7 linked regions of the Bombyx mori genome follow. The protein of the gene in region 1 purifies or fractionates together with the protein of each later gene. This does not show direct contact. Links are inferred from orthologs where the notes say so. Each region holds a gene or a part of one and is shown in the gene's direction. Other genes may lie near its edges.

What was found.
Region 2: the proteins of splicing factor 3B subunit 2 (region 1) and pre-mRNA-processing-splicing factor 8 purify together in Homo sapiens (affinity purification with mass spectrometry; 3 studies listed by BioGRID and IntAct, with this or other methods). This does not show direct contact. The link is inferred for Bombyx mori from reciprocal best matches to the Homo sapiens genes SF3B2 and PRPF8.
Region 3: the proteins of splicing factor 3B subunit 2 (region 1) and U2 snRNP-associated SURP motif-containing protein purify together in Homo sapiens (affinity purification with mass spectrometry; 3 studies listed by BioGRID and IntAct, with this or other methods). This does not show direct contact. The link is inferred for Bombyx mori from reciprocal best matches to the Homo sapiens genes SF3B2 and U2SURP.
Region 4: the proteins of splicing factor 3B subunit 2 (region 1) and DnaJ-21 purify together in Homo sapiens (affinity purification with mass spectrometry; 3 studies listed by BioGRID and IntAct, with this or other methods). This does not show direct contact. The link is inferred for Bombyx mori from reciprocal best matches to the Homo sapiens genes SF3B2 and DNAJC8.
Region 5: the proteins of splicing factor 3B subunit 2 (region 1) and cell division cycle 5-like protein purify together in Homo sapiens (affinity purification with mass spectrometry; 3 studies listed by BioGRID and IntAct, with this or other methods). This does not show direct contact. The link is inferred for Bombyx mori from reciprocal best matches to the Homo sapiens genes SF3B2 and CDC5L.
Region 6: the proteins of splicing factor 3B subunit 2 (region 1) and Phf5a purify together in Homo sapiens (affinity purification with mass spectrometry; 4 studies listed by BioGRID and IntAct, with this or other methods). This does not show direct contact. The link is inferred for Bombyx mori from reciprocal best matches to the Homo sapiens genes SF3B2 and PHF5A.
Region 7: the proteins of splicing factor 3B subunit 2 (region 1) and 14 kDa subunit splicing factor 3b fractionate together in Homo sapiens (co-fractionation; 5 studies listed by BioGRID and IntAct, with this or other methods). This does not show direct contact. The link is inferred for Bombyx mori from reciprocal best matches to the Homo sapiens genes SF3B2 and SF3B6.

The regions. Positions count from the first base shown.
Region 1 is NC_085131.1:3,902,031-3,906,242, forward strand, and holds the start of splicing factor 3B subunit 2, read left to right. Parts: upstream 1-1,412; 5' UTR 1,413-1,788; coding exon 1,789-2,713; intron 2,714-4,110; coding exon 4,111-4,212. UniProt on the Homo sapiens protein: Component of the 17S U2 SnRNP complex of the spliceosome, a large ribonucleoprotein complex that removes introns from transcribed pre-mRNAs.
Region 2 is NC_085114.1:12,599,545-12,603,044, forward strand, and holds part of pre-mRNA-processing-splicing factor 8, read left to right. Parts: intron 1-181; coding exon 182-387; intron 388-489; coding exon 490-680; intron 681-1,079; coding exon 1,080-1,215; intron 1,216-1,324; coding exon 1,325-1,494; intron 1,495-1,753; coding exon 1,754-1,901; intron 1,902-2,239; coding exon 2,240-2,368; intron 2,369-3,066; coding exon 3,067-3,227; intron 3,228-3,456; coding exon 3,457-3,500. UniProt on the Homo sapiens protein: Plays a role in pre-mRNA splicing as core component of precatalytic, catalytic and postcatalytic spliceosomal complexes, both of the predominant U2-type spliceosome and the minor U12-type spliceosome.
Region 3 is NC_085111.1:15,847,100-15,849,667, reverse strand, and holds the end of U2 snRNP-associated SURP motif-containing protein, read left to right. Parts: intron 1-433; coding exon 434-505; intron 506-809; coding exon 810-975; 3' UTR 976-2,068; downstream 2,069-2,568.
Region 4 is NC_085115.1:4,913,982-4,918,090, forward strand, and holds the start of DnaJ-21 (uncharacterized protein LOC101735997), read left to right. Parts: upstream 1-1,309; 5' UTR 1,310-1,385; coding exon 1,386-1,442; intron 1,443-1,751; coding exon 1,752-1,943; intron 1,944-2,839; coding exon 2,840-2,968; intron 2,969-3,511; coding exon 3,512-3,619; intron 3,620-4,109. UniProt on the Homo sapiens protein: Suppresses polyglutamine (polyQ) aggregation of ATXN3 in neuronal cells.
Region 5 is NC_085115.1:11,723,283-11,726,343, forward strand, and holds the end of cell division cycle 5-like protein, read left to right. Parts: intron 1-158; coding exon 159-350; intron 351-1,045; coding exon 1,046-1,251; intron 1,252-1,451; exon of another isoform or gene 1,452-1,650; coding exon 1,651-2,103; 3' UTR 2,104-2,561; downstream 2,562-3,061.
Region 6 is NC_085114.1:14,383,839-14,387,340, reverse strand, and holds Phf5a (PHD-finger 5A), read left to right. Parts: upstream 1-1,480; 5' UTR 1,481-1,535; coding exon 1,536-1,587; intron 1,588-1,661; coding exon 1,662-1,852; intron 1,853-2,295; coding exon 2,296-2,385; 3' UTR 2,386-3,002; downstream 3,003-3,502. Other genes in the region: ATP-dependent RNA helicase DDX47, read right to left, coding at 84-203.
Region 7 is NC_085111.1:9,667,854-9,672,147, reverse strand, and holds the start of 14 kDa subunit splicing factor 3b, read left to right. Parts: upstream 1-1,494; 5' UTR 1,495-1,567; coding exon 1,568-1,597; intron 1,598-1,696; coding exon 1,697-1,815; intron 1,816-4,294.

The DNA.
Region 1 (4,212 bases):
CTCATTTCATCCCAGTTGATTAATGTCTCAAATTAATCATCTTCATTTCATTTCATTCCATAATATCATTTTTCATAAAAATATGAATATAAATTAAAATAAGATGTGACTTAAAGGTCTCAGTTACCAGGTCATAAAATCCGAAATCCCTTATTTAGTTCCCATGGCGCATTTTATCCGATTCAATCCGTTAATTTTTTTGAGGCCCTCTTCTTGGTTTACTAGCTTTTTATTTCCGAAATAAGCTGTAACGAATGAAACGTGACTATAGTGTCAACAATGTAAATCAGATAAAAAATGATAAAAATCGACGTCTTAATTAAGACTACTTTGTTAATTGTTTAAATTTTTCGACGGCAGCTTTAAATTTATACAACAAAAGTGCTGTTATGTACGCTGTTCATTCTGGTAAAAGCGTCAGAACGAGATAGACATTACTAGATTTATTCAACTTATTTAAATCAATAAATTTAACAAAAAATGGAATCTTATTATTAGATTCTACATAAGGCTCAAAAGCTTCTGCAAATTTTAAATATACTACGGTGAATATTACTCAATTTCAACTTTACTGCAAAGATAAAAAGAAGCTCTTTGATGTGCCAACATTGTCGAAGCGGATCAACGGCGTGAATCGCAATTCCGATTCGATGGTAGATTCAGCGAAGCACTGCTCTTGCTAGGGCTGATGCTCGCAAAGTCTCCTAGGCTAGGCCACGTGAACTCGCATACAAGTTCGGCGAAACTAACATAGCCGCTTGTGGTTACTAGCAATAGGTCACCAAAAAAAAATTTAATGAGCAATCCGAAGGTGATGGGATTTTTACAATAATTCTTATACGGTCTAGTTTTTTTAAATAATTTTTACCATTCAATGCATTAAACTTGGTTTACGGTCATAAACCTTTTGAGTTAAAAGTGATTTAAGTAGTTACTTACTTATAACCTCGATCTAGAAGATATATTCTCTCTAGAAAATATCTTCTCCTCATCACATGCCAAAGAGGGCTCAATGAAAGTGCTATCACAGGGATAGTGCCTATTTGCAAAGAAAAAACTATTCAGTGTGCGCACGCAATTTGTACGATCTGTAATAGTATAATTATTTACTTCCTGGTGGTACTAACTGGTGCTAGGGCTGGAAGGGTCTTGTCGGTCCGCGCAGGTGTATGCGGGCTCACCATGCCTATTTCTGCCGTGACGCAATTTGTTTCGGTTTGATGGGTGGTGCAGCCGTTGTATTGTAAAAAATGTAAAAACTCATATCCCAAGGTGGAAGGCGGCATTTACGTTGTTGAAGTCTATGAGCTTCTTTAAGCACTTAGCATTACGTGGGCCGTTAGCTCGTTCGTCCTTAAGCATTAAGAGAAAATATAATTCAAGGGAGGTTTGTTCGATATGTTTTAGTACTGTTTATTCGGAAACTATCTACTTGGAAACCTTTTTTTGGTTAAATCGATAGTTCTAACAGAAGACGATTGTCAAATTGACCTTCACAAAGTTTTACTAAAACCAAAGGCCAAAAAAGAACCGAAAAAGTGACGACTTAAACAACAGTAAGTATTATCTATAATTAAGCACATAGATTCCACATTATACCATAGACAAGACAGTCTCTGTGGTATGTTGACACTTATTGTCAAGCGCGTTAACCTCAAACAAATCAGTTTTGTTTTTTACTGTAAATTTATAAATGAATAGATCTTAATAATCACGAACTAAATCATACCTTTGTAGTTAAAAGTCTATTTTATACAGTGAATTCAGTAGCAGTACTGTGAATTAGCTATGGATGGTCCACCAGGGACCGGATCTACGAATAACAATGCTTCGGTGGGGCCTCCACCGGGGATGCCAAACTTTCCTCCGATGCCGCCACCACCGGGATCTATGGGACCGCCACCGGGGTCCATTGGACCGCCACCAGGAACTATGGGACCGCCACCAGGAACTATGGGACCGCCACCAGGAACTATGGGACCACCACCAGGAACTATGGGACCGCCACCAGGAGCTATGGGACCGCCACCGGGATCCATGGGGCCTCCACCAATGGGTCCGCCTGGACCACCACCTGTTAGCTCGTCTGGTGGACCTCCAAACATGCCGCCGGGAATAGGTCCACCTCCACCAGGAATGATGCCTCCGGGAATGGGACCACCGCCAATGGGGCCGCCTGGAATGGGTCCACCTCCAATGGGCCCCCCGGGTATGGGACCTCCTGGTATGGGTCCACCCGGTATGGGACCTCCCGGAATGGGTCCTCCCGGAATGGGACCTCCAGGAATGGGTCCACCCCGAATGCCACCAAATATGATGCGTAATAAGAATAATTATAATAATCAAAATATGGACATGGGACCACCTGGGATGAGACCACCTATGGGACCATGGGATGGACCACCAGGCCCACCTGGTCCACCTGGCCCCCCTGGGCCTGGGTGGGGAATGCAAAGTGATGGTCCGCCAGGATGGAATGATCAAGATGATGATGATGAAGAAGAAGAAGAAGAAGATGGGGAAGAAGATTTATCCTCTGACCAACATTCTTCTCTGCCATCACTCTTGACCATGAAGATTGAAACACCAGAAGAATTTAAAAATAAACAGGGAAATGCTGGAGGTGTAGTACTCCCAAAGGCTCTGGAAGAAGCTCTTGCTTACAAAGACCAAAGACAAGCAGCTCTTGGTAGTGAAGAAGATAAAGAAACAGGTAACTTTTTTATTTTATAGATTGGTGAACAAGCCATGGCCCACACATTATTAAACTATCAATGGAGCCCGTTGGCATCACAACATGAAAGCCACCACACCATTATATATGGTTGAAGGCTCAATTGTATGTTAGAACTGCCATCCCGATTTAAATTCACTTAGGTGTTTCAGAATTTTTCTTAAAAATGTATTCTTTTTCAATGGACTTATTATTGATAATGAAACAAAAAACGAATAATAAAATGAAATACAAAACATACTGATACTCTCTTCTTAATCATTTCTATGTTATTTTTATAGTTAATCATTGTCAATAGCCAAGTCAATGTCTGTAATCGATTTTAAGTTTCATTTTTACTAGGAGATGACTACAAATTCATAACTATTTGGAATTTCTAAAAGTCTGAGCACATTATTACTAATTATGATGATTGTAAACTTAAACATCCATCTTAACTAAGTTTATGTTTCTTAGCCTAAATGAAAATAGCCCAGCCTTTATTCTTTTATCCAGTATCTCTATATATCTATCACGGCAATCTAAATTACTTCCATATTTAATAAATTTTTTTTTTATCACACTGAAAATTTTTATGGTTTAATTTCATATTTTAATTGTGATTTTATTGCTTCCAATGTTTTGAACAACTACAGTTTTTCTGGTCACTGATGTAAACTGTAAAACTGTAGCTGTAGCTTTAAATATACCTATATCATGCAACATCTGCAGAAAATACTAGCCCATAGACATCAACACATAAAAGCCACTACCCAACATCAGACATGAATTGTAAGTCTAAATTTCATAGTAGAACAGCTGCCCCACCCTTCAAACCGAAACACATTACTGCTTCATGGCAGAAATAGGCAAGGTGATGGTACACACTCGTGCATGCTCACAGCACACTCTACTACCAGTATATGTTGCTCTTTTAAGATCCAAAATGTTCCCTACATATTTCTTTCAAAAATCCTATAGACATTCTGAAAAAAATTGAGGTAACTACATTGGCAAACAAGCACTTTACTTTGAGTTCTATTTTGTAAAAAAGGGTCAGTTATAAAGTTATATATTTTGTATATAAAATAGCACACTTACCTTGTTGGTGGTGGTAGGACCTCTTGTGAGTTCGCATGGGTAGGTACCACCACCCTGCCTATTTCTGCTGTGAAGCAGTAATGCGTTTCGGTTTGAAGGGTGGGGCAGCTGTTGTAACTATACGTGAGACCTTAGAACTTATATCTCAAGGTGGGTGGCGCATTTACGTTGTAGATGTCTATGGGCTCTAGTAACCACTTAACACTAGGTCGGCTGTGAGATCGTGCACCCATCTAAGCAATAAAAAAAATAGCACATTAAACAGTACCTTATAATGATGTTTTGCCCCTATACAGATGTGCAAAAAGACATGGAAGCACCGCCAGCTCCAGTGATCAGTACGGAGTATGACGTGGAAGAGGATGAACAGTCAGACGATGAAAACATTCCTGATCCAC
Region 2 (3,500 bases), on another chromosome or scaffold:
ATAGTATTTGATGTAGAATAACTCTGCTTTGGAAAGAGCAGAGTGAACACCATCACAATTAAATATTGTAAATAACTGCTGATATTCGTATTGCAAACAGTACTTATAACGTTTAAAAAAAAACGAATTTATATTATTTCATCAATGTAGAACTTTGCATAAATTAAGACATTATTTATAGGTCTAATGACATACTTCCGCGAGGCCGTTGTTAACACACAAGAACTCCTCGACTTACTCGTGAAATGCGAGAATAAGATTCAAACTCGTATCAAGATTGGCCTTAACTCGAAAATGCCTTCGAGATTCCCTCCGGTCGTGTTTTACACACCCAAAGAACTTGGAGGTTTAGGAATGTTGTCTATGGGACATGTTTTGATCCCGCAGGTGAGATTTTATTTTAAAATTTAATTTACAAAACAGCAATATTTGTTGATGAATTGTATCAAGATTCTTCATAATCGTTTGATAACTTGCGTTTTTTTTTAGTCTGACCTACGTTGGTCAAAACAAACAGACGTCGGCATAACGCATTTCCGTTCTGGAATGTCACATGATGAAGATCAACTAATTCCGAACTTGTACCGCTACATACAACCTTGGGAAGCTGAGTTTGTAGACTCCCAGCGAGTCTGGGCTGAATACGCACTTAAGAGACAGGAAGCTAATGCTCAGAATAGGTAATTTTGAGTTATTCTAATGTCCATGATAGCCAGTACTCTAACAACATTTTTGATTGATTTTGATTTGATTTAACAATAACTTAACTGATCTAAGTCTGTGTAAATTGTAAAAATACATACAAATATTACTTACTCTATAATCCCAATTTAATCATATTTTGGTTGGAGAATTGAAATGATAAATATTTAAATTTAAGAACAAGTGATGAACTGCGTAGGGGTCCTGAAACCAGAGAGTCCCTGTGCTCTGGGGGCAGACCGTGACTATAGACTTGCTGATCGCAATGTACTGTAGCACTGTCTGTCTGAAAATACGCTAACTGATCTAAATAAAACTAATCAAGTTGAATATTTGATTTGAAAGAAGGTATTTTATAAATCATATTTGTACTACAGACGATTGACTCTAGAAGATTTGGAAGATTCTTGGGACAGGGGTATCCCGAGGATCAACACACTTTTCCAAAAAGACAGGCATACACTCGCTTACGATAAGGGATGGCGTATACGTACGGAATTCAAACAGTATCAGGTAAGATTAATTGCACACAACAATTTATTCATATATCTATATATTTGTGTATAAATTAAATTATTTAATAGAAAATGTGAATTAATTGAAACAAATGTTTTCAAAACAGGTCCTAAAGCAGAATCCATTCTGGTGGACTCACCAGCGTCACGACGGCAAACTGTGGAACTTGAACAACTATCGCACAGATATGATACAAGCATTGGGAGGAGTTGAGGGTATCCTCGAGCATACATTGTTCAAGGGAACTTACTTCCCGACTTGGGAGGGTTTGTTCTGGTATGACATAAGACATAATAAATTTACTTATAATCCAAAATGGTTGAGAATTTACTGATTATAAATGATGATGGAAATATAGTATCTGGTACCCATAACACAGGGAATCCTAACTTGGGCTCGATGACCGGTTGTGACCTGTTTCTAGGCTATGTACAATAATCGGAGGCTATTTTTAAGTGACATAAAAAAAAAAAAAAAACAATTATAATGTTTGCAATAAGTGCGCTTTTGTAATAAATAAAACTCATTTACTTAGGGAAAAGGCGTCTGGTTTCGAAGAGTCGATGAAGTACAAAAAGTTGACAAACGCCCAACGATCCGGGTTGAATCAGATCCCGAACCGTCGATTCACATTATGGTGGTCGCCTACAATCAACAGAGCGAACGTCTACGTCGGTTTTCAAGTAAGATCTTCACATTGCCTATACATTACCTTCTCGTGAGATTTTATGATTTTAAGTTTACAAATATGGCCTTAATAAATTGAAAAGTACTTTTATGATTAGCTATGGTTAGATTTATTGAGATTTGGTTGCTTATTTCACGAGTCCTGTCACCTTAAAATATATTAATGGGCAGTAATTTATTCCCATTTCGACTCTGAATAAAATTTCTCTCTTGGCATCTTACTTATTTATCTATAAATGCTAAAGACGATTTAAACAACATAATAGTGTATGTTATGAGATATTCAAGTTTTAATGCATGGATATGATAATGTGATAAATTAATTTTCTTTCAGGTACAACTGGATCTTACTGGTATATTCATGCACGGTAAGATTCCGACATTGAAGATTTCACTCATCCAAATCTTCAGAGCTCACTTGTGGCAGAAAGTACACGAGTCGATTGTTATGGATCTTTGTCAGGTAAAATAGTTTTATTATAATTTAAAAAGTATAACAAATAGATAGGGCACTGTTGCATGCATATTTGGTATTATATATCTAGAGTTCATTTATAGTGTTTTTTTTTGTTTATTGCATACATTGGCAAGTGAGCTCACAGCCGAACTGGTATTAAGTGGTTACCGTTTCCTATACACATATAAAGTTAAAGTGCCTATCCATTTTGAGACATCATGTGAAGCCCTAAGTTTTGTTAACGATTGTCAACATCATTGAACTGGTAGGCAGCGGCTTGGCTCTGCCCCTGGCATTGCTGAAGTCCATGGGCGACGGTAACCACTCACCATCAGGTGGGCCGTATGCTCGTCTGCCTACAAGAGCAATAAAAAAAAAAAAAAAAAAAAAAAAACCTGATTGCTTTACAATAGTAAGAAGCAAGTGATACTTACACGTGCGAGCTAACACTACGCCCTGAAAAGCATATTTTGTGGATTTAATTTTTATTTTAAGATGTTTACTAACGTTTGCATTATGTTGGTGAACACATGTTCAATAAGTACTTCACTAGAAATATAACTTCCTGTCGGATTTGTACTCTCAGTTAGTCCCAGTGCTCAGCATAAGTACTGTCACGACGACACAATGGCTACGATTTCTATCTCTCTTAATACTTTAGGTTTCGTTCCCTAAACATAGTCGTAACAACTATTTTATCACAGGTATTCGATCAAGAACTTGACGCCTTAGAAATTGAGACGGTACAGAAAGAAACCATTCATCCTCGTAAATCTTATAAGATGAATTCATCATGCGCCGATATATTACTGTTCTCAGCCTACAAGTGGAACGTGTCCCGACCATCCTTATTAGCCGATACAAAGTAAATATTCAATGAATTTTGATGTTTAATGAAACTATAGCTATGATATTTCATTGAAATTTTTTATAGAATAATGTAAACATATTTTACAAATTAAAGTTATTTGTATTGAGTAGAATTGAATGAATAAATAGAATACAAGCCTACAGTTTTCTTGGTGTGATATTTTATTAGAATACACATAGTGTAGAAGCATTTTTTTTATTACTTAAATTGTATTAATCCACAGGGACACAATGGACAATACAACTACACAAAAGTACTGGCTTGATA
Region 3 (2,568 bases), on another chromosome or scaffold:
TGCCCTACGCGGTGCACTAAAATAATTATGTCAATTGCTGTTACTAATGCGCCAGGATTAACTTTGCCTTCTTTTGTTTTTAATGTATGATTTATTTTTTTAGATCTCTCACATATAGATTCATTCTCAATATCTTATAGTTTAGGGCTAAATGACCGACCGTGTTTCATTTGTTTACGATTATTATATGTTCTAAATGAAATCATTTACAGTTTATTGAAAAGGAAATTAAAGTAACGTCCAATATTAGTACTACATAATATTTGCAATATATTTAATTAATATCATATTAAATATACAATATTTAAAGAAAAAATATATATGTTTTAATATTGTACGAAAAAGTGGTTTAATATAATTTTTATATTGACATTTCGACTCACCAAACTGTGTGTCATGCAAGAGCCTATAATTTTGACATTTGCCTTTTCAGAACTTCATCTAAGAAATCAAAGAAGTCCAGAGAGCCTACGTTATCGCCGCCGCCGAAACGGTCGCGTCACAGGTTAGTTAATACACCTGACACTGAATAGGAAGTTAACAGCATTTTTTGTTTCCCTGCTAGACTAATTAAACAAAATTCCATGGGGTTCACAATGAATATATTGGTGAACTACATGTTAAGCGCCATGTGTTTGAACAAATTAACAAATTTATATTAACGTTGAGAGTTGGAGTCTTCTCAAACTTTTGAGAGCCAGCATCTTGGGATGCGTAAAGCTTCAGACGCAGATTACGGAAAATATCGCATTTCGTCGCGGATACACGTACACGGAAAATAAAACGCTTTAATTATTATTTGATTGCAGTGATCGCCGTTCCCGATCCAGGTCTAAGTCTCGCGAGAAGGACAGAGATCGAGAGAGGAGCCGCGACCACGAGAGAGAGCGAGACAGGGATAGGCGACGTCGTTCGCCGGCCACGCCCCCCTCGCACCGCAAGCATCACACCAAACACGCCAAGTACAAGTACTGACAGTCGGTCTAGCAACACCACCCCACTTGGTGTGACCAACGGATGGACTATTGATAACTTATCCTGTGCTACTGCAAACATTTTCATTGCATATTTTTATACAGATTGACTGGTTGAACACTTTACATACTCAAGGACATGATAATTCATGGTCACGTGTAACGTTTAAAAATATAAAATTAAAAATATACAAATGAAATACAAAGAAAACCTTCATTAAACGAATTTGCTAAAACTTGAAATTTGTGGACACCGTATCAAATATCGTTTGCGAAAAGACCGGCGCCCGCGCGTGTTTTGTTTCGTCACTGAATGGGTGTGCCGCAGGGCGGGGGTGAAGCGCCGCCCGGGGGTAAGAACAGGGTTGCATCTAATCAGCGCGCCGCGTTCAAACGATACCGCGATCATCGACCGGTGTAAACAAACCAGTACATAGGTACCTTCCTACCTTGCCGCATGACCGGCCAATTCTGTACTTCGCGCGAGTGACCACGCTTATTGTTTCGAGTAGATAATTAAAGATAAATTAGACAAATATTAGGAACCTATTTTTTTTTTGCTTAATGAATATATAATATGTGAATAATAAATATGTGAAGTGTTCAACCATTCAGCCTGTATAAAGGAAATTAAAATGAGACAGATTATTGGTAAACTGTTCCGTAAGTGAAAATGGGTATGAATAGAATGCCGTTGCAATTTATTTACATGGATTTATATATTATATGGATAAAGTGATCAGTGATCAGTAGGGAAAACTAATTCAACATTAACATGTTTATAATAGAATCATAAATAAATGCAATGATGATTTAATTAAAAAAAACGAAGCTTCAAACATGATCTTTCATGGAAAAAAATACACTTTCACACTAGGCATATAGTACTAGCAAGTAACAAAGACATTCTATATTATCATTACTATATTGCATGGTTTTGGTGACTAGTGTACCCGAGATAAATATAGAATTATGTTCGTTCGTCGTGAGTGCCTGATGATGCTCCCATATCGTCCTCAGCTTTTGAACGTTCCATCGCGTTTGACATGTAAATATTAGATCGTAATAAGAATGATTAAATGTATGATTGAAGAGCTGATGTTTTATTGCTTTTTTTTATAAACCTCAATAAAAGACCGAAATATAATTAATTACATTAGAGGTAATCAATCCTCCTATAACACAGTATTTTACAACACGATTCAGTAATTCTCCAAACCTTCTTTATAACACGGTACTTCTACAACACGATAAATACATAATTACATTAGAGGTAATCAATCCTCCTATAACACAGTATTTTACAACACGATTCAGTAATTCTCCAAACCTTCTTTATAACACGGTACTTCTACAACACGATAAATACATTTTTGTTTGAAATTGTTTAGTAAATTACATTATGCACTATAAACACACATTATAAAGGAGTAACCGAAATTTTACTGCTTATTTTTGGAACGAAGTTCCTTGCGGCAGGCTTGGAGGGGATAGGGATTTTGCTGCGCGACCGAACTGAAAAAAATGTGATAGTAAAACCGTAAGAAAAAATCCGTGGAAAAAAGTGCGTGGAATAAAACCGTTAAATGAGACG
Region 4 (4,109 bases), on another chromosome or scaffold:
ATATAAGTAAAATCGTAAAACAGTAGGTAGGTACATACCTTTCAATAATGTACATCACGTATCGCATACAACACCCATTCACGCATCCCTCAGACCGTCCAGGTCGTCCAGTAAATTGACAGGATAATGTGCCACCTGTGCTATTTAACCTGTCATGTATACTGAATGAATAATGAAGTCAAGACGACTTTTTGGCGGGAACGCGAGGAGTGAAATAGTGTGATTTGTTTCATTTTGTCTATTTAGTGTTTTTTCGGGTTTCAATGTGTAATAAAGGTGGTTTATTAACTGTTTAGTATCTGTGAAAGTGCACAAATGTGGGAAAATTAAACAAAGCCGCTGAACGTAACTTCTCGGGATCCTCCAAAAAGTCCACTGAAAAAGTTTCAATAAATGACCACCATTTTACTGAGATTATATTTCGTCCCATAACATCTCATTTCGTTTAATTTCATGCCAATTGATTATGTTTCCTTCGTTTTTTATTATTCAAAAACTGGAAATAATTAAAACGGCGAATTATAAAAATCTTATTACTTGACGCTGGCTAATGCACAAACCGTGCCGTAGCCAAAAACTAAAGAAAAAGAAGAAGAATGAAGCCAAGAAGCCCTCTTTTCAATATGGAAAATCAGTGTATGTGTAATCACAAAGTTTAACAAATCGGTAAGATTTGCGCCAAGAAAATCCGGAACTGCTGTTGTCTAGTGTCAGTAACCGGCTCTACAAAATATCGGCTCGTCCGTGTAAGCTATAATCTATGTTAAGCTGCTCTGCTAAAGTAACATAAACTTTTTGGCGGGAACGCGAGGAGTGAAGTTAAGTGATTTGTTTTATCTAATAATTTATCTAATAGTTTTGTCTAATAATGTTACTTTAGTTTTAAATGTGTGACATCTGTGAAACTGCACAAATGTGAGAAAATGAAAAAAAGCCGCTGAACGTAACTTCTCGGGATCCGCCGAAAAGTGTACTCAAAAAATTTCAGTAAGTGACCACCATTTTACTGAGATTATATGTCATCCCATATCATCACATCTCATTTTATTTAATTGCATCCCAGTTGATTAATGTCTCAAATTAATCGTCTTCATTTCGTTTCACTCCATAATATCATTTTTCATAAAAATTAGAATATAAATTATGATAAGACATGACTTAAAAATCTTAGTTACCAGGTCATAAAATCCCTTATAAAAAACCAACTTATTGTTACACGCTTGTCACTATTTGTCAAGCTCAACATAATTTCATTCACATTTCGTTCAATTTCAATTCATTAAAATGCAAAAAAGTAGCATGTGAATATTTACTGCAATATTAATTGGAATTAAATGAATTAATTTAATTTAGTAATCTCGTTACCCTCCAATTCACATTTAACAATGACTTCGACGACATCGACAAACAGGGGAGATTCTTTTGACGAATTTTACACAGAGGTAAGCCATGTTCAAATTACAACGATGGAATCACCAAATGTTACATTTTAAATTATACAATACTTTTATTAAAACTGATAAAGCTGTTGTGACATGCTGAACGAAAGAACATGGTACACGATTGGTACATGTAGAGAGTTTGAATAACAAACAAAACAGATACAATTTGTTTCTCATACCTTCATGCTTACTCTAAATCATGTTTATAAATTGTCATGCATAATTAATAATCGAAAAAAAAACAAAAACATTTTAATCAAGCATTTGACAAATTCTCAATGATGTTTCGTGAATTTCTGTTGTTCATAGGTTAAAGAAATTGAAAAACGTGACTCCGTTTTGACACCTAAACAACAGATTGAGAGGCTCCTTCGTCCTGGATCCACTTATTTCAATTTAAACCCATTTGAGGTACTTCAGGTTGAGCCTGATGCTACACTTGATGAAATCAAAAAGAAATATAGGAGATTGTCAATTCTTGTCCATCCGGATAAGAATATGGTGAGAAAACATTTCAATAACCAAGATTAGTTGGTAGTCTATAATTTGAAAACCCACAGTGAAGTTCTGAAATTACATTGGTACTCAAGACTTTTTTAAATTTTTCTTAGTATTGCATTATTAGAATTTTTGAAATGATGAATGTTTTTTGGTAAGATCTCCACAAGATTAGGCGGTTACGCCCGTCAACTATTCATTTTCATCCACAGATTGGTTGAGACCCTGGGAACGCCCTGTGACTCCACTACATAGGTAATGTATGGAATGCAAAAGGGTTAAAATAAAAATAGTGTAATAGAGACAAAACGACCTGATTAAGTTATATTATCTCAATTTACTCTATTATTTAGTGTATTGTTTTAATTTGCCTGAGAAAATTGAATAAAACATACAGAGCGACAGGCTATTATAGCATCTCAATATTTTTCTGTGTACTTCAAAACTATAAATATCGCAACATATTATGATTATACTTGTAATTAAATTCTGCAGACAGTTACCAATTTTTGGAATAAAACATGCATTTGACACATGTTTTTGAATAACTTCCTTAATGAATTATTCAATTTGAGCATGAAATAAAAATGAACCTTGAAAAGATTGTAATTTTTGTAATTATTATACAATTGAGACAAAAAGCTCAAGGTGCGTAGCAACATCTGTAACTCACTCAGTCACATCTGCAAGCTAAAAGCTTGTTCACCGATTTATACTATAAATTAATTAAACACTTTCATTAGTCAAAAAAAAATATCAAAAAATCTCTCACTGAATTCGCAAGTAAAATTGGTTAAATATATTTTTAACATTAATCAAATAAACATTAAAAATAGTAAATAATAACCAAATACCAAACAATTCTAGCAGTAACAAAATTACGGAATTTTAAATTGCAGGATGACTCTGAGCGTGCTCAACAAGCTTTTGAAATAGTGAATCGAGCTTGGAAAACATTAGAAAATGATGACACAAGAAAAAAATGTCTGGACATCTATGAAGAGGCTAAGGAACGAACAGATCATATGGTGAGTGATTTGCTTTATCTAATTACCTGATAAAGGTGATCAAATAGAAATATTGTCTTTGCCAATGTTAAAATCCGATTACAGTACCTATGAAGCCCGTAGTTTCAGATCCTCTCAATCCAATATCACTGCCTTTAGGTACCTCAAGCACCAGTCACTGTCGCATTTTCATTCCGGTGGTAGATTCTTTGAAGCCCTGTTCTTGCTAGGGCTAGTGTTAGCAAATTCGCCAGGTTAGAGCCCCGTGAGGTCACCTACTTGCCAAGCGAATCTAGTTAAATGATTATAAATGAAATTATTTATAAAATTTTAACTTAAAATTTTTGTACTTTTATATTATCATGAAACAAGGTATCATTTTGTTGTAATTATTTGAATTAAAAAATTCAAGGCTAGGCTTAAAAATATTAATCTCACTTCATGATGGGAATCGAAAACCAAAATTATGTTACATATCATTTCACAACAATGACCAATCAACATAAGTTAAACACTGATTTGTACTTATAAAATTGTATTTACACTGCTTATTTATAATTTCAGATAGAACAGAAACGGAAAAAGCTGAAAAAGGAAAACCGCTTAATAGAAACCATTCCTGAAGATGATCCAGAGAAAAAAAAACATGCCGTATATGTTATGACCATGAAAGTATGTATTGCGTAGTGCTGTTTAATTTAATAAAACTACATTTAATTCAAATGAATTTAAAGATAAATCATGTGTATCGGAATCAAATCCTCATGAGTCGCATTGAGTACATTACTTTATGTATCACCAATAGCTATTCAAACATACACCATTATGAATGACTAAGTGAAATTATGATAGGTATAATAGCCGGCAAACTTCTTGAGCATTTGTTGACGTAGTGGGGGTAAGTTTGCGCATGGTACACTCACGTGCAAAAACATTATTTACTCTGCGTCATAATGCAATTAAATTATTAAAATCAACATATGTATTTATTTATATATTTATTAGAACATCAACAAAAAATATAGGTTAATAATTGGGGTAAAATAGATATTCCTTCTATTAAGTCAAAACTAGAGCTGTTGCCAGGTCTTCGTTCAGTTGAAGCGAAGCTGGTATTTGTAATTTTTTTTTCGTTATCATAATCTTGACCATTACCATCATC
Region 5 (3,061 bases), on another chromosome or scaffold:
TGCTCTTGTAAGAATTATTAACGAACCCATCGCCTATACCTTTGGAAAGTTTTTTTTGCGAGGATTTTTACTTATAAGCCACATATGAAATGTACTCGTCGTTTGAACTTCATTGAACTTAAAAGTCGCTACGACCAACTCGGTTTGATTATCGGCAGGCGCTGCCGAGCTGTCGCGTCGCTCGCTGGCGGTGCAGCGCGGCGCGGCGCGTCCGGCCGACGTCAACGTGTCGGTGCTGCGCGGTGCCGCCTCGCTGTCCGCCCTCACGCCGCTGCAGCACGCCGAGGAACTGCTCAAAGCCGAGATGGTCACCATGCTGCACTACGATGCCCTCAGGGACCCGCCTGAAGGTTTCTTATTTCACACATTCAAACATTTCACTGGTGGTAGGACCTCTTGTGAGTCCGCGCGGATAGGTGCCACCGCCCTGCTTATTTCTGCCGTGAAGCAGTAATGCGTTTCACTTTGAAGGGTGAGGCAGTCGCTGTAACTATACTTGAGACCTTAGTTTATATCTCAAGGTGGGTGGCGCATTTACGTTGTAGATGTCTATGGGCTCCAGTAACCACTTAACACCAGCTGAGCTCGTTCACCCATCTAAGCAATAAATAAATACTTGATTGCCTCGTTGGTGGTTACTGACCAGCTATTGTACCGCCATCACCAGTCTGGTGGCCGTAGCTTTTACAAATATAAATTTGCTCAACGTTTTGAATTTTGTTGCTACAGTATGAACCGTGCTCTCAACATACCTTGTTAACATCAGTATTTTACAAAGACAGAGTGACACAATCAAAAAATCAAGTTAGTTTCGGTAAGCTCTGAAAATGAAGCCCATTTATTACCCTATGTGGCATGAACTGATTGAGGCCATTACTACGGATACGATTAATAATTCGATTTCGTGAATACATAAGCATTTAAATTTTAATATGCGGTAATTCTGTAGCATCGCGTAACCTAACAAAGGTATCGGAATACAGGAATCAAAATTCACCTTAAGAGTGTAAAGACATTCAAATATTAATAGAATTATATTTTTCAGGTGTAGATAAAAAGCGTGCTATTCAACTACAAGCATCCCATTTAGCATACTTAGAACAGCATCCATATGAAGAGTTTGCTGACGAAGAATTAGCTGCCGCTAAAGAAGCACTGAAGAAAGAAATGGAAGTCGTGAAAGCGGGAATGAGTCATGGGGACCTTAGTATAGACGCGTACACTCAAGTCTGGGAGGAATGTTTAGCACAGGTATGAGAATCATAGTATTATTTTTTTTACCCTTTTCGCACAATATTTCAATGCTACCAATTTTTTTTAGTGGCTGACTAAATCAAAGCACCTATTCTTTGGAAGTGTTATGTTACTATTTATTTATTTATTTTATTAGGCTCACAATACACATCACAAGCTAAAGACACATAAATACACAAATAAAAAGAAACAAAATCTGGCTTGCAAATATAATGTAATAATACTTATTATACTAAATATAATGTGAAGTGGTGGTACAGAAGTGGCCGAGATCAAAATGCTTATAATGTTAAATCTATATATAATTTTCCAATAATCCTTTTTACTAACTGAATCGTAGGATTAAAGAAATCAATCAATTAGCACATTACAGTAATTACACACATTTTCCTATAGGTACTTTTTCTACCCGGTCAACATCGTTACACGCGTGCTAATTTGGCAAGCAAGAAGGATCGTTTAGAATCTGCTGAGAAAAGATTAGAGCAGAATAGAAATCACATGGCGAAGGAAGCAAAAAAATGTTCAAAAATGGAAAAGAAACTTCGTGTGCTAACAGGAGGTTACCAGAGTCGTGCCGCAGCTCTCATAAAACAGTTTCAAGAATTACAAGATCAAATAGAACAAGCTAATTTAGAATTATCGACCTTTAAATTCTTGGCTGAACAGGAGAAAGCGGCCATTCCACGTAGAATAGAATCGTTGACCGAAGACGTCAGCCGACAGACTGAACGCGAGAAGCTTTTGCAAAAGCGATACTCAGAACTACAGACCGAGGTAGAAAACATGCAGAAAGGGAAGAAAAGTCAAGTTTCCGAAAATGTTAATTCTCAAAAAACGACTGCATAAAAATGTTCTTGTAAATATTAAAATGGAGTAATGACGCACTAAGTTAAGGAAGATATTATCGTTTGTCCGCAAAATTGTTTCTCATACATTTGAAGCTGCAGTTAAAAGTTTTACCTCTGTATCGACGTATCTGATATTTAGTGCTGATGAATTAATAGTAAAAACTAAACAGTGGATCAAGACTATCTGTAGTATAGTTAATGACAACGTTTCTATTAGAAGATGAGTAACAATAATAAACACTGGAATAATAGGTAGTAGGATTATAACAAAAATATGTAATAAATATCAGGTTTCCATTATAGTTTTTTAAACCTCATTTTTAATGGTTCGACAACACATGTTTACCAGTGTGCGTGTTTATTTTCGCATTAGATCATTAGTCACACTATAATTTAAAAAAAAAACAACGATTATATCTACACAATAAGGTCAGAATAAATCATAAATAAGTAGTATTTTTTGTTTCAATGTAGTTAAATCCATTAGAATGTTAAAGATTTAGTTTATATACTATTTATATAATGGATATAAGAACTCCATACTTTAGATTATTGACATTGCGGAAATTTACCAACATCAATCTTCTTTCGATGGTAAGGTATGTATATTTTTTGCGAGGTTACTCTGTAGTTTTAGTATGGAAGAAAAAACTGGTCACATTTATCTTTACATGTATGTATTACAATATACTATTATTTACAAATGACATAATTCGTAGTACAATATATCTCGATTATAATTGATATTTACAGTTAGATTGATAATTTATATCACAGAACCAAATGTATATACGAATCTACGGATACAAAGATCATCAATTAACAAATTAAATTTAAATTTAATATTGAATTTCTAGTAGGCCATAATATAATTGTTGGCTTGGTTACAAGTGTACGACACTATCCATCAAGATTGGAAACTTGAAATGCATGAAACCATAAATATGTAACACACA
Region 6 (3,502 bases), on another chromosome or scaffold:
GGCACCATTTGATATTAAAATCAATAAAATTATATTACAGTATTTACTTAGTATTACAAACACAGTTTAATGTAAAAACTTACCAAATCCTTAAATGTTATTTTATCATCTTCAGTATCTTCGTTGACATTTTCGGTTGGAGTTTGTTCCACCTCACTATCCTGGTTGGTTTCGTCTCCATAGCTTTCCTTGTCTGCAGTCATTTTCTCTAAATTATCATTGTTTTGGGGAATACAAAAAAGACGCGAATATTGAAAGCATGTGTTTGAATTAGGGGTATGCTGATTTCTGATTTCTGATTTCTGAATCTATCACATATAATATGTGACGTATGTGTCACCAAAGAAGTAAAACTGTCAAAAGTATACTTGACAATTAAGACCGATCGCAAACCGGCAATTAGACTTTTTGGTGGGAACGCGAGGAGTGAAGTTGTGTGATTTGTTTTATTTTGTCTATTTAGTGTTTCTTCAGGTTTAAATGTGTAATAACGGTGGTTTATTAACTGTTTAATATCTGTGACAGTGCACAAATGTGGGAAAATGAAACAAAGCCACTGGACGTAACTTCTCGGGATCCTCCAAAAAGTCCACTGAAAAAATCTCAGTAAATGACCACCATTTTACTGAGATTATATTTCATCCCATATCATCTCATCTCATTTCATTTAATTTCATCCCAGTTGATTGTTGTCTCAAATTAATCATCTTCATTTCATTTCATATTATCGTTTTCCATAAAAATACCCCATATTATATCATCTCATCTCATTTCATTTTATGCCATGTTTCATAAATTAATACACTTCATTTCATAGTATCATATTTCATAAAATAAAAAAAAATATATAAAAGGTTAGGCTGTATGCTATGATACCTTTGCCTTTCCATTTGGAAAAATGAAACTACTACTACTACTTATCTATGGTGCCAAATTATAGGACATGGCTTCGGCCTTAATGAAATTTTTATTTCAGGATATGAGTCGTCTATTATCAAAGGTGGCAATCTGTGCATTTGGACAAAAAAAAATTATTGATATGTCAATACAGATTGTTTTGAATATAATCGTCTCCTTCAAAGAATACGGTTCAAAACCTGCATTAAATAAAGGTTAATAGTTAACCTGTTATTTATCTAAGATGTCGTTCCGAAGAGTTTTGTGACTGCCAATGGAATACAAAGTCAATAATTCGTTTTTTCTGATTTACCAATCATTGTCCAAAAGTCAGATTGCCGGCTTTGATAATAGTCGACTCATATAATTTAAATCCTATAAGACCTGGCTTTGGCTTTATTATAAATTTATATCAGAAATTATATAGAACAAATGAGGCGGTATGGGCTTAGATCCCTTTGCCTTTCCTAATAAGGAAAAATTGTAACAAAAAAATATATCTATGGTGCCACTTGTCAAAATTACCGGGTCAAAATCGTCAAAATCTTTGTAGGTTATTCGATAAAAAAACAGTAAACGGCAAGTTTGATAATAACAATCAAAGAACATTCGCCAGCAGACCAGACCTAACTAAAAACATGGCAAAGCATCATCCAGATTTAATTTTCTGCAGGAAACAGCCCGGAGTCGGTTAGTAGTATTAAAAAATGGAAGACAACCAAGTTTAGTGTCGCTTGTTTTAATGCTATTTCTTATTTTTCCAGCTATTGGACGTTTATGTGAGAAATGTGACGGAAAATGTGTGATTTGCGATTCTTATGTGCGTCCGTGCACGTTGGTTCGTATTTGTGACGAGTGCAACTATGGCTCGTATCAGGGGCGATGTGTGATTTGCGGCGGGCCTGGAGTATCTGATGCTTATTATTGTAAGGAGTGCACGATACAGGAGAAGGATGTAAGTTTTAATTTTGTAATTTTTGAACTCAAATAATCGCATCGAAATCATTAATTTAAATTTCCTCAAATCAAAAAACATCGTTATATTTTGATAGTTTAAAAACTCACAAGAAACTAGTCAACCTGACTTGATCAAGTGACCTGATAATGATTGTGTGCGTCCCCAATATCATGTACATTAAGCCAAGCCTAATAAAATGTATAGCCAAAAGGATTGTGGCATTGAAGTGGCATTGGGCAGGACACATTGCTCGTAGAACAGATGGCCATTGGGGCCAGAAAGTTCTTGAGTGGCGACCGCGTATCGGAAGACGTAGCGTGGGTAGGCCTCCCACAAGATGGACCGATGGACGATGGCAGTGGACGTCTGTGCGCTGATAACAATAATAATAATAATAATAATACATATTATTATGCTAATAAAATTGTTATTTTTCACAGAGAGATGGCTGTCCAAAGATTGTCAATTTGGGAAGCTCTAAAACAGATCTGTTCTACGAGAGAAAGAAATATGGGTTTAGGAGACACTAGCATTAGGTTTCTTTTTAGTTTTTAAATATTAATTTCTGCAAAGTTTCTGTTATTTAAAATAATAAAAACAGAGGTTTTTCTCAACTAAAGTTTGATTGAAATACAAGTTTGTTTTTATCAACTACTTTGTTGTTGACTTTTTAAAGCCAACGGCTATTATGATCAAGTATGGTTTTCAATGTCTAAAGAGTTGCAGCTCGGGTCCAAGAGAAATTCACATATATTTTTTTAAATTCATTCATTTATACAATTGGATTGTTGTTATCGATGATATCTGTTATTTTTTTACAATTTTTTTTATCCTTTGTTTATTCAATGCAGATTAGTTTTCATTTTCCAACTAGAAAGAAAATACTTGAAAAATACATTTAGTTTTTGCATTTAAATTATTAAGATTCATTTTTATTTTTTATTTTTCTACTAAATTGTCAATAAAGATATTTTTGACTACCATGTGCTCTGTAAAACTACAGACAATATGTTAGCAATATTCATGTATGTAATGAGAGTGATTGTACTGTGTGAATGTTGTCTGTCATATTTTGAAAACTATGTTTCTAGTGTGTACTTACATTAAGACATTATGTAATTATTAATAAATGCATTGGTATTACACATTTAATGGCCCTACACTACCATTTTCTCCTTCGTCATGGGTCTGGGAAACAACCAAACATAACTAAGTAATTTCTAATCAAATATCTTTTGACTATCCGGGAATTACACATACCTGGACTATATTATATCTTTATATATATATATTTCTTATGTGCGTGTGTGTGTCACTGAACTCCTCCTTAACGGCTGTGCTGATTTGAATGATTGTGTTTGTATGCATTTGGGTGGCACCCTGGATGGTTTAGATTCACAAATCAACCCAGCAGAGGGCGCTGCAGTCGGTATCTAGGTTATTTATCTTTCCTAGAAATAATTTATATGGTAAAACAACATTTGCCAGCTAGTAGTATTATATAGTACTAGTCAGTAACACTATATAATTACACAATGAATTAGGTGGTCAAGCAAATATTTTAAAGTTATGGTATTGAATGAGAAAACTATTATATCGAGGGGTGAAGGGGGCTATTTGGTTTAAGCGACATTTTTGCAACTACAG
Region 7 (4,294 bases), on another chromosome or scaffold:
GAAAAAATCTCAGTAAATGACCACCATTTTACTGAGATTATATTTCACCCCATATCATCTCATTTCATTTAATATCATTTCATTCCATATTAACATTGTTCATAAAAATAAAAAATAAAATTAAAATAAGACATGACTTAAAGGTCTTAGTTACCAGGTCATAAAATCTCTTAATAAAATATAAGTATGACTTTTTGGCGGGAGCGCGAGGAGTAAACTTGTGTGATTTGTTTTATTTTTTCTATTAGTGTTTCTTCAGGCTTACATGCGTAATAAGGGTGGTTTATTTACTGTTTAGTATCTGTGAAAGTGCACAAATGTGGAAAAATCAAATAAAGCCGCTGAAGGTAACTTCTCGGGATCTTCCAAAAAATCCACTGAAAAAGTCTCAGTAAATGACCACCATTTTACTGAGATTATGTAGAGATATACGACAAAGGGAAGATCTTCCACCGAGCGGGTGATATTGATCGGTAGACCGACGGTTCGAATGTTGTTGTTCGGAACTTGTATATATGCGCTTTATCTTGAAAATATCGTAAGCGAGATTCAGGCATCGATCAATTATCTTGCGTTGTATGATGGCTACCCGCCACATCACTCCCCTCCGAGACTGGAGATCGTGTCATATTTAGTTATCGTTGTCCGTGCTGAGATTAGCTTGCAAGTGCCAGTGCTGCTCGAAGTTTGCGGTGAGTCGAAACTGAGCTTGAATGCTGCGTGATTGTCGCCAGTGCTGCTCGAAGTCTGCGGTGAGTCGAGACTGAGCTTGAAAATGCTGCGCGATGAGGCAGTGTAGGTGCGTGCCGTAGGGCCAGGAAGCGTGGTGAGTCGGCTGCGATGGTCCTGTTGAGGCTGCGATGCTGGCTTGCTGTGGGACGACTGTAGATGACTTGCTTTTATCTGCGAGAATGCGGGGATTGTGGTAACCGAAGTTCTTGATGCGCTGATGATGAATGAGAAGGTTGCGATTGTTCCGTCGCAGGTCACCAGTTGTAGGAAGCTTAAACGACGAAAGGAAGATCTTCCACCGAGCGGGTGATATTGCTCGGTAGACCGATCACGTCGGGGTCACCAGTTTGTAGAGATATACGACAAAGGGAAGATCTTCCACCGAGCGGGTGATATTGCTCGGTAGACCGACGGTCCGAATGTTGTTGTTCGGAACTTGTATATATGCGCTTTATCTTGAAAATGTCGTAAGCGAGATTCAGGCATCTGTCAATTATCTTGCGTTGTATGATGGCTACCCGCCACAATTATATTTCATACCTTATCATCTCATCTCGTTCCAGTCCACTTCATTTCATGCCATGTTTCATATTAATCAACTTCATTTCATTTCAGTTCATATTTTCATTTTTCATAAAAAATATGGAATATATATTAAAATAAGACATGACCTAAAGGTCCTTGTTACCAGGTCACAAAAACCTTTAAAAAAATTTATAAACATAGTAGGTAGGTATTTACATTTATGTTTGAGTTTGATAAACATACCTAAAAAATCATACAACTATCTATTTTCATGTTTAACAAACTGTAAAAATAATTCATCCACACCAAAATGGCATTAGCACTTCAAAGAAGAGCAAATGTAAGTATTGAAAAGTTAATTGAAGACAACGCTTTGACAAATGTTTGGTTAGGTAGATCACAGTAAATATTGGAAAGTTACATGTTAAGTATATTTCAGGTACGATTACCTCCAGAAGTCAACAGAATCCTATACATCAGGAACTTGCCCTACAAAATATCCGCTGAAGAAATGTATGATATCTTCGGCAAATATGGCGCAATAAGACAAATAAGAGTGTAAGTTTGTCTTTACTAATTGTTTAACGTAGATCCTACGTAGCTAAATCTGGTGTTCCTAGGTGTTCCTAGGAATTTTAATGTCGTTCATATCAATGCCCAGAGTATTGCGGCTCATTTCCCTGACATGCTTGCAAGTTTTGATTCTAAGAATATCCATGCTATACTTGTTTCAGAGTCTTGGCTTAAGCCATGTCTTCCTTCTACATCTTATACCATTCCTGGTTTTCAACTTTTTAGGAACGATCGTATTAATGGCGGTGGTGGTGGCGTTGCCATTTATATCCGTTCGTATTTTAATTGTGCAGTTGTTAATGTATCGGCACAGCCTACGCCGCCATATGCGGGCGAGCACTTATTTCTTGAAATAGAACTTCAACACACGAAGATGTTACTTGGTGTTTATTATTGTCCTTCGTCAAGTATAGATTTCTTTACTTCTTTTGAAACTCTGCTAGAAAATACAATGCCTTCATATACTCATACCATTATCATGGGTGACTTTAACACATGCCTACTTAAAAACAATTCTCGAACCACTTTATTTCGCTCGATGATCGAATCAGTAAACTTAACTGTTCTACCGTTGAACTCGACTCATCATTTTCCAAACTGTGCTCCTTCACTTCTTGATCTTATTTTCGTTTCTTCTCGTGACCACGTGGCTGACCATGGACAGTGTTCAGCTGACGCTTTCTCATACCATGATCTTATCTTCGTTTCATATAAAGTACGACCTCCCAAAGCAAAATCAAAAACTCTTCTGCTGCGCAGTTTTAATGGTATGGATCTTGAAAGTCTTCGAGAAGATGCTGGCAGCATTGACTGGACTGCTTTGACGTGCTCTACCTCAATCAATGAGAAAGTTGATCAGTTCAATGCCAAGCTAACTGATCTATATGACAAGTACGCACCCTTCCGACCAGTAAGAATTAAACATATGCCAGCGCCGTGGCTTACTGATGAAATTAAAAGTCTATTGACCAGGAAGGCAGCTGCTAAATTAAAATATAAAAAAAAACCAACCTCTGACAATAGTACAAATTATCACCGAATCCGCAATCACTGCAACAGAGTGTGTAGGGATGCACAACGCCAGCATATCCATAGTGCTATCGAAAATGGTGATCCAGCTAGAGTCTGGAAATTTCTTAAATCACTGGGGATTGGAAAATTACAACATGACTTTCATCTATCACATTCGAGTATTGATTTATTAAATCAACATTTCTGTGCGTCATCCCTTTATGACGGGACAATTAAATCTAATACATTAAATCACATTTTATCTCTTCCGATCCCAAATTGTTCTCCATTTGTTTTTAATCACCTAACGGCTTGTGATGTTAAGCGGAGCATATTATCCATAACTTCCAATGCTGTTGGAAGTGACTGTGTGGCCCGTAATATGATCCTTCCTATCCTAGACCAAATCCTTCCCATTATTTGTCATATCCTGAATGAATCATTATCTAGCGGCATCTTTCCAAAGGCTTGGAAAGAAGCACAGATTACACCACTGCCAAAAAAGCCGAATCCTACATCCTTTTCAGAATACCGTCCAATTTCCATTCTACCGTTTCTTTCAAAGGTTTTAGAACGCCTGATTCACAACCAGCTCAGTGAGTTTCTTACGAGAAACGAGCTTTTAAACCCTTATCAGTCCGGCTTTCGTCCTGGCCATAGCACGGTCACAGCCCTGGTGCATATTACGGATGCCATCAGATTTGGCATGGAGAGTGGGAAACTGACGGTGTTGGCATTGCTGGATTTCAGTAATGCTTTTGGCACCGTCGATTTCGACATACTTCTAGCCATCCTTAGCTCCATTAACATATCTCCAACCGTGGTTGATTGGTTTCGCAGTTACCTGTCTGGTCGCCGACAGCGTATTCACTGTGAGAATGCTTATTCTTCATGGTGTGAAACGCACGTAGGTGTACCGCAGGGTGGCGTTTTATCTCCTTTACTCTTTTAAATTTTTATAAATTCTATTTCTTTACAACTTACTTCTTCCTACCACCTGTACGCAGATGATCTACAGATATATACGCAATCTTCTTTACCAGAGCTGACCAACGCGATAAAGATCCTGAACAATGACTTATCGATATTGTCCCGTTGGAGTAAGTCTCATGGATTGAGGGTGAACCCGTCAAAGACACAGGTCATTGTTGTCGGTAGTTCAAGAATGTGTTCGAAAGTTACATGGTCGCAGCTTCCGGCTATTTTATTTGACGGCGCACAAATTCCTATCAGCGATACTGTGAAAAATTTGGGTATCTTAATTGATAAAAACCTTTCATGGAACGCACAAATAAAAGAGGTTAGCCGGAAGGTGTTTGCATCAGCTGGATCGTTGAGACGGTTACGAAATTTTCTTCCAACTGCCACTAAAACTGCGCTTGCACAGTCTTTACTTCTTCCAATTCTTGACTACGCTGATTCCAGCTATCCGGATCTAACCGAAACACAACTT